Linked DNA regions of Yarrowia lipolytica. The protein of the gene in region 2 binds, or shares a complex with, the protein of the main gene of each other region. Links are inferred from orthologs where the notes say so. Each region holds a gene or a part of one and is shown on either strand. Other genes may lie near its edges.

Region 1 (3,180 bases), on a different chromosome or scaffold from region 2:
GATGAAGTTGTTTGAGACTCATAGGTGATGCAGTCGAGTAGAGCAGCTAGAGATCGTCCTCTCTTGTCCTCTGGTTGTAGCATGATCTTCTCAAACATAACTTGTCGGAAGATGTTATCAAGGTTGTCGGTGGGGTTGGCGTCCATGTATTTTTCGCACCATTGTCGGAATCCGCTTTTTTCGATCGTTTTTGACTCTAGACGGGTGTAATCGGTCTTGTAGTGGCCACTGACCTTATCCAGGATCGTCACCAGCTTTTTTTCCATCGTGTTGTGGTTGCGTGTGTGTATGCAGGTTCTGATCAGGTTGGTGATGTTCTCTGGTGGTTGAACTTTGTTGTGGAGCGGTTTTAATATGGGAGTGATACGTGAAAAAAAAAAAAAAAAAAAAAAAAAAAGAAGAGAAAAGAACACGAGCAAACAAAAGCTGTTCAGATGAATGAGGTGTGTTTTTATTGTCGTATCTTTGCTATTATGATCCACAGATATTTTCGTACTGATAACTACACTACCCGCTGGGAAAAAGAGCTGAGTAATGGGACAGAGAGCAGTACGAGTAAAGTACAGTATCTACAGTAGGGTGGTTGTGTTTGCGGTACATTGTTTGTCACAGACGTCCCCAGGTTAACTCCTTCAATGTCATCCAGTGATCACACACTCTCAAATTGTCCCCTACACCCTCTCCCCCACACCCTCAATTATCGAGTTCATCGTTTAACTATATACATATGGGTTTTCATTAGTCTCTCGACTTGTCCTTCTTCTTGTACACCTGAGACCGGGGATACTTGAGCACATAGGAGGCGGTATCCTTGAGCTTGTCGTAATGAGGTCGGTCAATCTTGTTCTTGTAGATAAAGGCCTCGTCGTGAGCAGGCAGAGTGGGAGGCTGCTTCTTGTCCACCAGCGACTCAGCGTCTCGAGTCTTCTTGGCAAAGAAGGATCGCAGCTCGTAGAAGCAGTGCATACACAGAGTGTGCATTCGCTTGACATGTCCACAGGCAGGACATCGGTTGAGGTTAGTCAAGGGCTTGAGGGCCTTTGTGTCAGCGAGGAATCGCTTTCGTTTTTGGCCGTACGACACCTTCTTTTTGGGCACGGCGTACACAATGCCGTGGTCGCAGTCCTCATGCTTATGCTGTTCCAGATCCACCTCTCGGCTGGGGGTCTCCAGATCCAGATCATGCTGGGCTCCTCCGAAAAGACCTCCCAGAAGACCGGGGGCAAGAGTGACGCTCACGGCCACGGGAATCTGGGCGCTGAGAGCAGCCACAAACGGCTTGGTCAGTTGTAGAGCCATTTTGGATCGTGTGTGTTGTGTGATGATCTCAGACTCGAGGTGGTGAATATGGTTGGGAGGATTTTTCAGAGTCACGTGATGGGAACACTGTGGTTACTGGGTTAGGGTTTAAATTTGGAGGACGAAGAGAATGGAGAATATATGTCGATGAGCCGATTCTCGTGATATATAACGCTTGTTTGTTGTCGTTGAGAAGTAGATGATCTCAAGAATCTATTGGTCATCAGTAAGAGACCATAATAAAATAAAAATAGTCGCTCAACCGCAAGTTCGCGTCTGAAAGGCCTCCAGGGACACAAAAACAAGATCAAAAAAGGTGAGATCCCTATATAAACCCCATTTTTATCACCTGGGGACTTTAGGTCGTTCATTACACTTATTTCTGGTTGTATTACTGTGTCTTGTCTTGAGATTAGCTACGACCTCGTCAGTCGCAACAAACAAGACTGATTCTCGCCAATTGCTTAATAATATAAATTGAAATCATTCCTAATCTCATAAACATCACGTGATCGAGTCATTGATCAAATATTATCCTCAGCCCCCTCCAAATCACCCATGTCTGGCACATTTGGCTAATCTCACACATTCCCTCCCGTTACCCGGCCTCCAACTTGAAAATTAAAGTTCAGGGGAAACGCGACACGCATTACATACACCCTATTGTACGTATCACCAACACACATCTGTACCACCACACAACCACTCATAAATGATGTCCACCGAAACCATCACGCCCGGCAGCAAGGTCGGGTTCGACTCCATCACCCAGCAGATTGAGCGACGGCTTCTGAAGCGAGGGTTCCAGTTCAACCTGATGGTTGTGGGCCAGTCTGGTCTCGGAAAGACCACGCTCATCAACACTCTGTTTGCGTCGCAGTTGGCATCTTCTTCTGGACGAACTGAGGCCGGCGAACCCATCACTAAGACCCCCGACATCAAGTGCGTCAGTCATGTGGTTGAGGAGAACGGCGTGCGTCTCAAGCTCAACATCATCGATACCCCTGGTTACGGTGACCAGGTCAACAACGAAAAGTGCTGGGACCCCATCACCAAGTACATCAAGGACCAGCACAGCCAGTACCTTCGAAAGGAGCTGACTGCGCAGCGAGAGAAGCATCTTCCCGACACCCGGGTGCATTGTGTGCTCTTCTTCATCCAGCCCACCGGCCACGGTCTCAAGCCCATCGACATAGTCGTGCTCAAAAAGCTGACTGAGATTGCCAACGTGGTGCCCGTCATCGCCAAGAGCGACTCGCTAACCCTGGCCGAACGACAGGCCTTCAAGGAGACCGTGCAGATGGAATTTGCCCACCACAGACTCAAGCTGTACCCTCTGGACTCGGCCGACTACGACGAGGACGAACAGTATCAAAACGCACAGATCAAGCAGTTTATCCCCTTTGCTGTGGTTGGCTCCGACAAGAACGTTGTTGTGAAGGGCAAGACTGTGCGAGGACGAAAGACCCGGTGGGGTGTTGTTAACGTGGAGGACGAGACTCACTGCGAGTTCCCCTACCTGCGAAACTTCCTCATTTGCTCCCATCTGCAGGATCTCATTGAGACTACCGCCCATGTGCACTACGAGGCGTTCCGATCCAAGCAGCTTCTTGCTCTGAAGGAGAACACCAGCAGTGGTCAGAGTGCTGGCATTTCGCCCGCTGGTGTCCCCAAGCCTCAGCCCCAGCCCCAGCCCCATTCCCAGCATCCCTTTGCTTCCACCGCCGGTGTGCCTGGCAGTGCAGGATCCGCAGGTCCTAACACCAATGGTATCCAGCAGCCCGTTGGGGCTCCCCCAGTGCCCAGTGGCTACTACAAGCGGTAGGACGAATCATGATGTGTGGTAATGTAATATTTTAGGTAGCTTGTTTGCTAATAGTG
Region 2 (3,802 bases):
GCTCCACGTGCTCCTTGGGTTCCTTGGGGATGAGAACCATGATTGTGTACTTGGTAGTGACACGCTGATGATGGTGTACGTGTATGCGTATGCACTTGACGATGTGAGTTTATTATCGTACCGTGCTGGAGCTGGGGCTAAGTAGAGTTTGAAGTAGAAGGCTAAGTAATATTAGTTGGACGGTGTCGTTGGAGCTTCGATATCTCCAAACATTGCGTGAGCAATGTGTATTTATCATTTGTATTTGTTGGTAAAAGTGGATTTCTGTATATAATGGGATTTGTTCCTAGTCGTTATCTTTTCTGGGGCACAAATAAAGGACCCCCAGCTGACTTGTTAGTCAACAAAATCTAACAAAATAGGCCTTAACTACACTGCACTTTTGCTCTTGTGGATTGGAAAGTATAGTTGCAAAGTAACTGTCAAGTAAAAGTAGTTAACTTGAAATTTCGAAATGAATATATCTCGAAATGTTGTATGACAAACATGTATTGTCTTCGCACATTAGTTGGATACCGAGTGCGCTCTATCTGCTGATGTACTCGTTTCTACACCAGCATGTCTGGAAACGGTATTTTACACCCCCAGTGCACTTTGCTTTCCAACTAATCTCTACTACTGAACCTAACTAAAACTGCCCTACAAGCTGGCAGACACAAGACAACACAAGACAACAAAAGTTGTTATCCAATCTATCATATATACAAATTACGCATCAATGGTAATGGCGGGAGAGTGGAAGGACCGCAGAGTGGTTCGGGCCAGAGACGAGGGCTTGGCGGTGTCTCGGGTCTTTGCAATCTGTTCTCGGACTGCTCGAGACGCCGCAGCAATGTTTTCCACAATCTCTGTGTCGGTAAAGGAAGCGTCTCCGACCTTGATGGAGAGACAGCCGGCAGACTCTCGGAAGGGCATGACTCCGGAGGTGGAGGCGATGATCTCGGCGACATCGTTGCCCACAGTGCCCTTTTTGGCGGAGGGCATCATTCCCTTAGGACCCAGCACTCGGCCGAGTCGGCCCATTTTGCCAATGATTTCGGGTGTGGCATAGCACTTGTTGAAGTCGAGGGGCTGTTTGCCCGACAGCAGGTCATCAATGAGCTCTTGTCCGCCCACCAGAGAAGCTCCGGCCTCCTTAGCAGCCTGGGCCTGGGCCTCGTTGGAGGTGATGACACAGATGGTGTCGCTGCCGATGGCCTTGGGCAGTCGCACGGTGCCCGTGATGCCGTTGGTTCCCTTCTTGGCCACAATAGACCACGACACCACTATCGATGTGGAGGACGAGGGCCAGCCCACCTCCATGGCCCGAATGTACCGCAGAGCCAGGGGGAAGTCCATGAGCAGCGGGTGCGACAGACGGTCTCGGGCCTTTCGCATCTGCTGGGCAAACTTGGCCCGCTCCTTTCGCTGGGTGATCTCTCGCAGTCGTTCCTTTTCTCGTCGGATCACCAGCTCCTTGTAACTGGGCTGGTTGACGGCTCCGGAGGTGTCCTTCTTCTTCTTGCCGAGCGCCACAGCCGAGGTCGACAGCGGCCGCACGCTCTGGGCAACGCCACCGGCCGTCAGCTTGGCCGCGTGTGTGAGTCTGAGCATTTTTTGGTGGTGGTTGGATGTAGTGTGATGTGATGTGGTGAAAAATTAAGCTGTGAAATTTCATCTCGACTTTGGGAGTTTCTCTACAGTTTACAGGAGCGACCAGTGGAGTCAATTTGTGGGGTGTTGGTGGGGTTGAAGCGGCTAGATTGAGTGAGGAAAAGCTGGCTTAAGACGTGGGATTTTCATCTTTTGCTCCACTCCTTCCGGTTTCTCCAGTCTCAGCTCACCCACTTCCTTTTTGCCCAAAAGGATCACTTTTGGATCCCCTACATACACCTTATGAGTGGATGGATGAAAGCGGTGAAAAAAGATGATCTGATACATAAAAGATGATCTGATACTTTGAGGAAGAGGCGACTGGTTTCGGAGGGTACATTTGAAGTTATTCCACCCGTTTGTTTCGTTTCTTTTGCCCCAATCCCGTGGCACATTCTTCTTAGCAGACATTCATTGGTCATCGTACGAGTACAAGGCCAACTTGCCTGATGGATTCATTCTTGGTCAAGAATCCATCGTACTATATTACAAGTACTTGTACGACTACAACTGATACCATAGCTACTGCCATCTTCATTGTCTCATACCAATAATCCTCTTTGCTATATACATTAGTTGTGGTGTCCTTCTAGTGGGTCAGGAACCACCGACCCTTGAGAGTCCGTCGCTTGATAATCTTTCGGCCGGTTCGAGATCGCGATCGGGCCAGAAAGCCAAGAGATCGCTTTCGCTTTCGGACCGAGGGCTGGTAGTCGATACCTCGCACGTATCGTCGCTGGGAGGCGCCGGAAAAGGGCGTGAGGAAGGGCAGAGTGGCGGTAGAGCCCTGGGCGAGCGCGGAGGCGACCCCTGAGGCCGCGGGAATGCACGACGGCACGGAGTTGGGCTGGATCATGGTGGCGGATCGCTGTTTGATAGCGGTCAGAGGGTTCACGTTGCCTCCGAGCGTGGCCATGTTTCGGGCCATGAGGGGTGCGGGTCGGACCACCTTGGTTGCAGCGGCTCTGGTGATGATTCTGAGCATGGCTGGGTTGGGGGCTTGTTGATATGGTACAGTACCGACGGGTTACTTGTCTGGAGTGTTGTGCCGTTCTCTGCTATTAATATATTTGTAGGCACTTTTTCACATATTGTCCCGACTCCCACATTATACCCTAACCCGAATTTCCCCATTCAGCTGCAAGCTCAATTTTATTTGCCTTCACTGCGCACTTGTGGATCACGCTGTTGCAAAAAAAAAAATCCCGTTGGCTTGATCCCGACGTACTAACCGCGCCGCCCCCACCACAACCACCAGCATGTCGTCCTACAAAGCGCCCGGCCCCACGGCCATAGAAGTGCATTCGTCCAAGGCGATCCCCAACGGCGAGGCCGAGGAGATCATCACACAGTACATCGATGCCACCACCGAGAGCACAGACCAGCTGCTGTCCATGTCCAGCGACAGCATGCCGTCGGTCGTGTCGCGAAACCACGCCATGATCCAGCAGCTGCGACGGGTCCAGCGAGACCTGCGGGGCTTGCCTCCGTTGGAGGCTGAAGAGAAGGAGGTGGAGAACAAGGACAAGGGGGATTCCAACACAACCACCGACGGAGGAGATAACGATAACCAGGAGGAGTCTGAGGATTCCGACGACTCTGAAGAGTCTGAGGAGACCAATGAGGACCAGGACCAAGACCAGGAAGAGGCTTAAGAGATGCTGTCGTCCGCCGCTTTGGCTCTACCACACCTTTACTGTCTACTCACCCTCTCCCCCCACCCACCCCCCTGTGTCGACACAGGGTAGCATTATTAATGTACATTAACTATAGAATCAACATGTTTACTTAGAGAGGTGTGTAGTGTAGCTGGAGAGTGGGTCGTTACGGGTTTGGCATATCGGATCTGGTGTAGGGCATTCCCAGGCTGTCGGATCAACTGGCCAGATGTCAATCCCGTTGATATTTTGATAGCTACAGTTTCGGTAGGGGAGTGTATTATGTTGCCCCTGTTCACATAGAATAAATGGGGCGAATTTGCAATCTCAAACGTCCTGGGGATCAGCCCTTTCTCCCCACTTCTTCCCGTCTCCATCCTTGTCTATCGCCCATCATGCAGATCTAACTTCTATCTAAAAAATCTCCTTTCACATTTCACCAACTCGTTTCACACTCGACAACCCATTCCCTACAGCATGGTGGTCGAATCGGTGCCCAGCAAAGAGCGGTT
Region 3 (3,151 bases), on a different chromosome or scaffold from region 2:
CTGTAGCCAACTAAATCATTGTTGTCTCGAGTATACTGATACTCGTATTGTATTGAATTGTATATGGACCATCACTTGTTGAAGAAGTGTGTTTTACGCGTTGATAACACCGTAAGGCTGCTTGGACAGATTGAAGACATGTCTATCACCCGTATAGCGTACAGCCGCATAGCCGTATAGCCGTATAGAAACAGCACTGCCCTCGTATCCAGCCTTGTTAGCCTGCTTTTTCGACCGGTGCTGAACCCTTTCTGACCCTTTCTGAACCTTTCTGAACCCGTGCTCTCAACCATTCTGAACCTACGCTTTGTCAAAAGAGTGGGGGTTCAAAGTGTGATTTGTGGAGTTGACACTGAGGATAACTACAGAAATCGATAGTAGAGACTTGTTGTGCTCATTGGTGAAATGTGTACCAGTCTTCAGCGACTTTGTTGTCAATGGTGGAATGGTAGAGCCCAGAGTTGTTAGTTGCATAAGCTGACTCAGTCTCTAGTATCAGAAGGCGAGCTATAGCAGCTCTGCATGACTTCCTACAGACTCCTGCTCATCCGGCCACTATTGATATATCGGAGTTCGACTTGTTTCGTACTCCGACTCCCACAGCTCAAGCCAGACCATCTACAATATCCACACTTTACTACTTTGCCAGTATAACGTCTTGTGAGCGAATACCCATGGATAGGACCCGTTCAACCATAGTGCTTCGCACTCTTTGTTTCACTTCCTTAACTATGTACATTACTGCTCAGCAGTCGTCTCACCAGGCACCTTGGCTTCCTTGGCAAGTCGCTTTTCCAGAGACTGGGGGTAGATGGCGTCCCATCGCTTGAGAACGCTATGGTCAGCATTCTCAGGCCAGGACTCAGCGGCTCCTCGTCTCCACAGGTCCTCCCAGTGGATGGTCACGGGCACCTTGACGGCCTCGGTGACGGTCGACAGGTCTGCCAGCGCCTCCTGTGTGTAAACGGGCCGGTACTGGCCGTCCTGCCACACGTTTCCGGCGGCGTTGGTCTTTCTCCACCCCTTGATGTCCTTCTTGCCGTCGTGGGTTCGCTTGTATCGCAGGTACACGAGGCCGTCGTAGGCATCACAAGCAGCCTGGTGGTCGCCGAAATCGGCAACGGCCATGGGCCGCCACAGATCCTGTCGCATGGTGGGCCGCTTGTTCTCCCAGTTGGGGTCCTTGAACTGTCGGTTGAGATGGTGCTCCGTCACGCCGGGGACCTGGGTGTAGGCCACCTGTCCCGTCTGGAGGTGTCGGTAGACGTACACAAACGCGGGCTTACCGTCTCGCTTGAGAGTGGCGGGCGTGTACTTTCGTACGGTGCCCATGGCTTTTGTGTACTGTGCCATTGTTGATGGAGATGATGTTGCAGTGTGAAATTTGTGATCTCCATTAGGGTTTGAGGGAGGTCTGGAGGGAGGGAAAAATTGCAAATGGTTTTCGCGGGATTCGAACTGGCGTTCACGAGGTGACGGTCACGGGATGATCGGTCTAGCTCTTCCCTTCGCTGACTAACGCCCGAAACCAACTCTTCTGACTCAGCTCGGTCTCGGCTCAACAAAGTTGAACTCTGAAATTTGGGGGGACGCGTCTAGCGAGACATCGATCGACCGAAAATGTGCAAGCGAAATAAATCCAAGAAAAGCAGATAATTGGAAAAAAATCAGGGGCAAGGAAGGAACCGACACGGGCCTAGGGATATATGTCACGTGACTACCCCTACTACTCCACCCACCGACACCATTCATACTGTTATACGTCCCCGTCAGAGGGCTTCCTCCTCGGTCTCTTGACATGATCATTCTACTGCTGTTTTTTGACTTCACAAGTATGGTGCCATTAGTGTTTTTCTAGGGTGGTTTTTCTCTGTAGGAGCTTGTCTTAGCTACGCTGTGGCGAAACTTGTGGTACGAGAGTGTAGAAGCAGGCACGGATGACGGGGGGAGGGGCAGTAAAGAGGGCCAAGGTGGCGATTTTTCGGAAATTTGAAGGTTGCCAGGTGGGAAATGGGCGGTCTAGACCCTGGTTTCCGAGCCCAACTTGAACCCCGTCCTCTGTCCATCGCTCCACCTGCCCATCTGATAAGTCTAGAAGGTTATGTGTCTTTGTCACCAAAAATGGCAAGACGTTACAATTAAGAGTTTCCAACTTTGGCGCGTATCTTCCCCTGACCTACGAAAAAAAACGCTACATTTGTACCGACTTGCTCGCCAACAACTCCAGCTACACCGCCAGCTCCAGCGAAATAAACAGCTCCACCCCTTGCGACATGTACAACGGCACCTTCAATCTCGGCCCAATAACGCTGACGGCCCCCAACGTGTCGTCGATACCGCCTCCTATCTACAAACACTCCATTCCACCACTCGTGTCATGGATCTCGGACGAGAATCTCGCGCTGCTGCTGCCCATCATCTGCTACTGGACGTCGGGCATCATGTTCCACATCATCGACCAGTACGAGCTGCTCGAACAGTACCGGATCCACACTCCTGAGGAGGTGACCAAGCGCAACAAGTGCACGTTTGCGGAGGTTGTTCGAGACGTTATCAAGCAACACATGCTCCAGACGGCTCTGGGCCTGCTACTCAACTACTTTGAGGAGCCCAACACGACTGGCCATGAAGCTCACGACATTTGGACGTGGCAGGTTCGGTTTGGAGGACAGACGAGCCCCGCAAAGGCGTGGCTCGCGGCGTTCGCCTACACCTATCTGCTGCCCTTTGTCAAAATCTCCTTTGCCTTCTTCATTCTCGACTCGTGGCAGTACTTTCTGCATCGGGCCATGCACCAGAGCAAATGGTTATACAAAAAGTTCCACTCCAGACACCACAGACTCTATGTGCCCTACGCCATTGGAGCGCTGTACAACACTGCTCTGGAGGGCGTGCTGATGGACTCGTGTGGAGCCGGCCTGGCATACATGGTTTCGGGCCTGACTACCCGAGAAGCCATCTGGTTCTTCTGCTTCTCCACGCTCAAGACTGTCGATGACCACTGCGGCTACTGCATTCCCTGGGACCCGTTCCAGATCTTGTTCCCCAACAATGCCGTGTACCACGACATTCACCATCAGAGCTTTGGCATCAAGACCAACTTTTCGCAGCCCTTCTTCACCTTCTGGGACCGCATTCTCAACACGGAGTA

What was found. The genes of interacting proteins can lie anywhere in the genome.
Region 1: YALI1_D15952g (region 2) and YALI1_C29148g share a complex: the UniProt entries of both Saccharomyces cerevisiae proteins name them as parts of the mitochondrial large ribosomal subunit. The link is inferred for Yarrowia lipolytica from reciprocal best matches to the Saccharomyces cerevisiae genes MRPL1 and MRPL32.
Region 3: YALI1_D15952g (region 2) and YALI1_E20635g share a complex: the UniProt entries of both Saccharomyces cerevisiae proteins name them as parts of the mitochondrial large ribosomal subunit. The link is inferred for Yarrowia lipolytica from reciprocal best matches to the Saccharomyces cerevisiae genes MRPL1 and MHR1.

What each region holds. Positions count from the first base shown.
Region 1 is NC_090772.1:2,912,943-2,916,122, reverse strand, and holds YALI1_C29148g (mitochondrial 54S ribosomal protein bL32m), read right to left. Parts: upstream 1,300-3,180; coding exon 739-1,299; downstream 1-738. Other genes in the region: YALI1_C29158g (uncharacterized protein), read right to left, coding at 1-266; YALI1_C29141g (uncharacterized protein), read left to right, coding at 2,012-3,124. UniProt on the Saccharomyces cerevisiae protein: Component of the mitochondrial ribosome (mitoribosome), a dedicated translation machinery responsible for the synthesis of mitochondrial genome-encoded proteins, including at least some of the essential transmembrane subunits of the mitochondrial respiratory chain.
Region 2 is NC_090773.1:1,593,701-1,597,502, forward strand, and holds YALI1_D15952g (mitochondrial 54S ribosomal protein uL1m), read right to left. Parts: upstream 1,594-3,802; coding exon 709-1,593; downstream 1-708. Other genes in the region: YALI1_D15937g (uncharacterized protein), read right to left, coding at 1-40; YALI1_D15963g (mitochondrial 54S ribosomal protein bL34m), read right to left, coding at 2,222-2,617; YALI1_D15965g (uncharacterized protein), read left to right, coding at 2,892-3,287; YALI1_D15974g (uncharacterized protein), read left to right, coding at 3,768-3,802. UniProt on the Saccharomyces cerevisiae protein: Component of the mitochondrial ribosome (mitoribosome), a dedicated translation machinery responsible for the synthesis of mitochondrial genome-encoded proteins, including at least some of the essential transmembrane subunits of the mitochondrial respiratory chain.
Region 3 is NC_090774.1:2,061,763-2,064,913, reverse strand, and holds YALI1_E20635g (mitochondrial 54S ribosomal protein mL67), read right to left. Parts: upstream 1,354-3,151; coding exon 739-1,353; downstream 1-738. Other genes in the region: YALI1_E20626g (uncharacterized protein), read left to right, coding at 2,274-3,151. UniProt on the Saccharomyces cerevisiae protein: Component of the mitochondrial ribosome (mitoribosome), a dedicated translation machinery responsible for the synthesis of mitochondrial genome-encoded proteins, including at least some of the essential transmembrane subunits of the mitochondrial respiratory chain.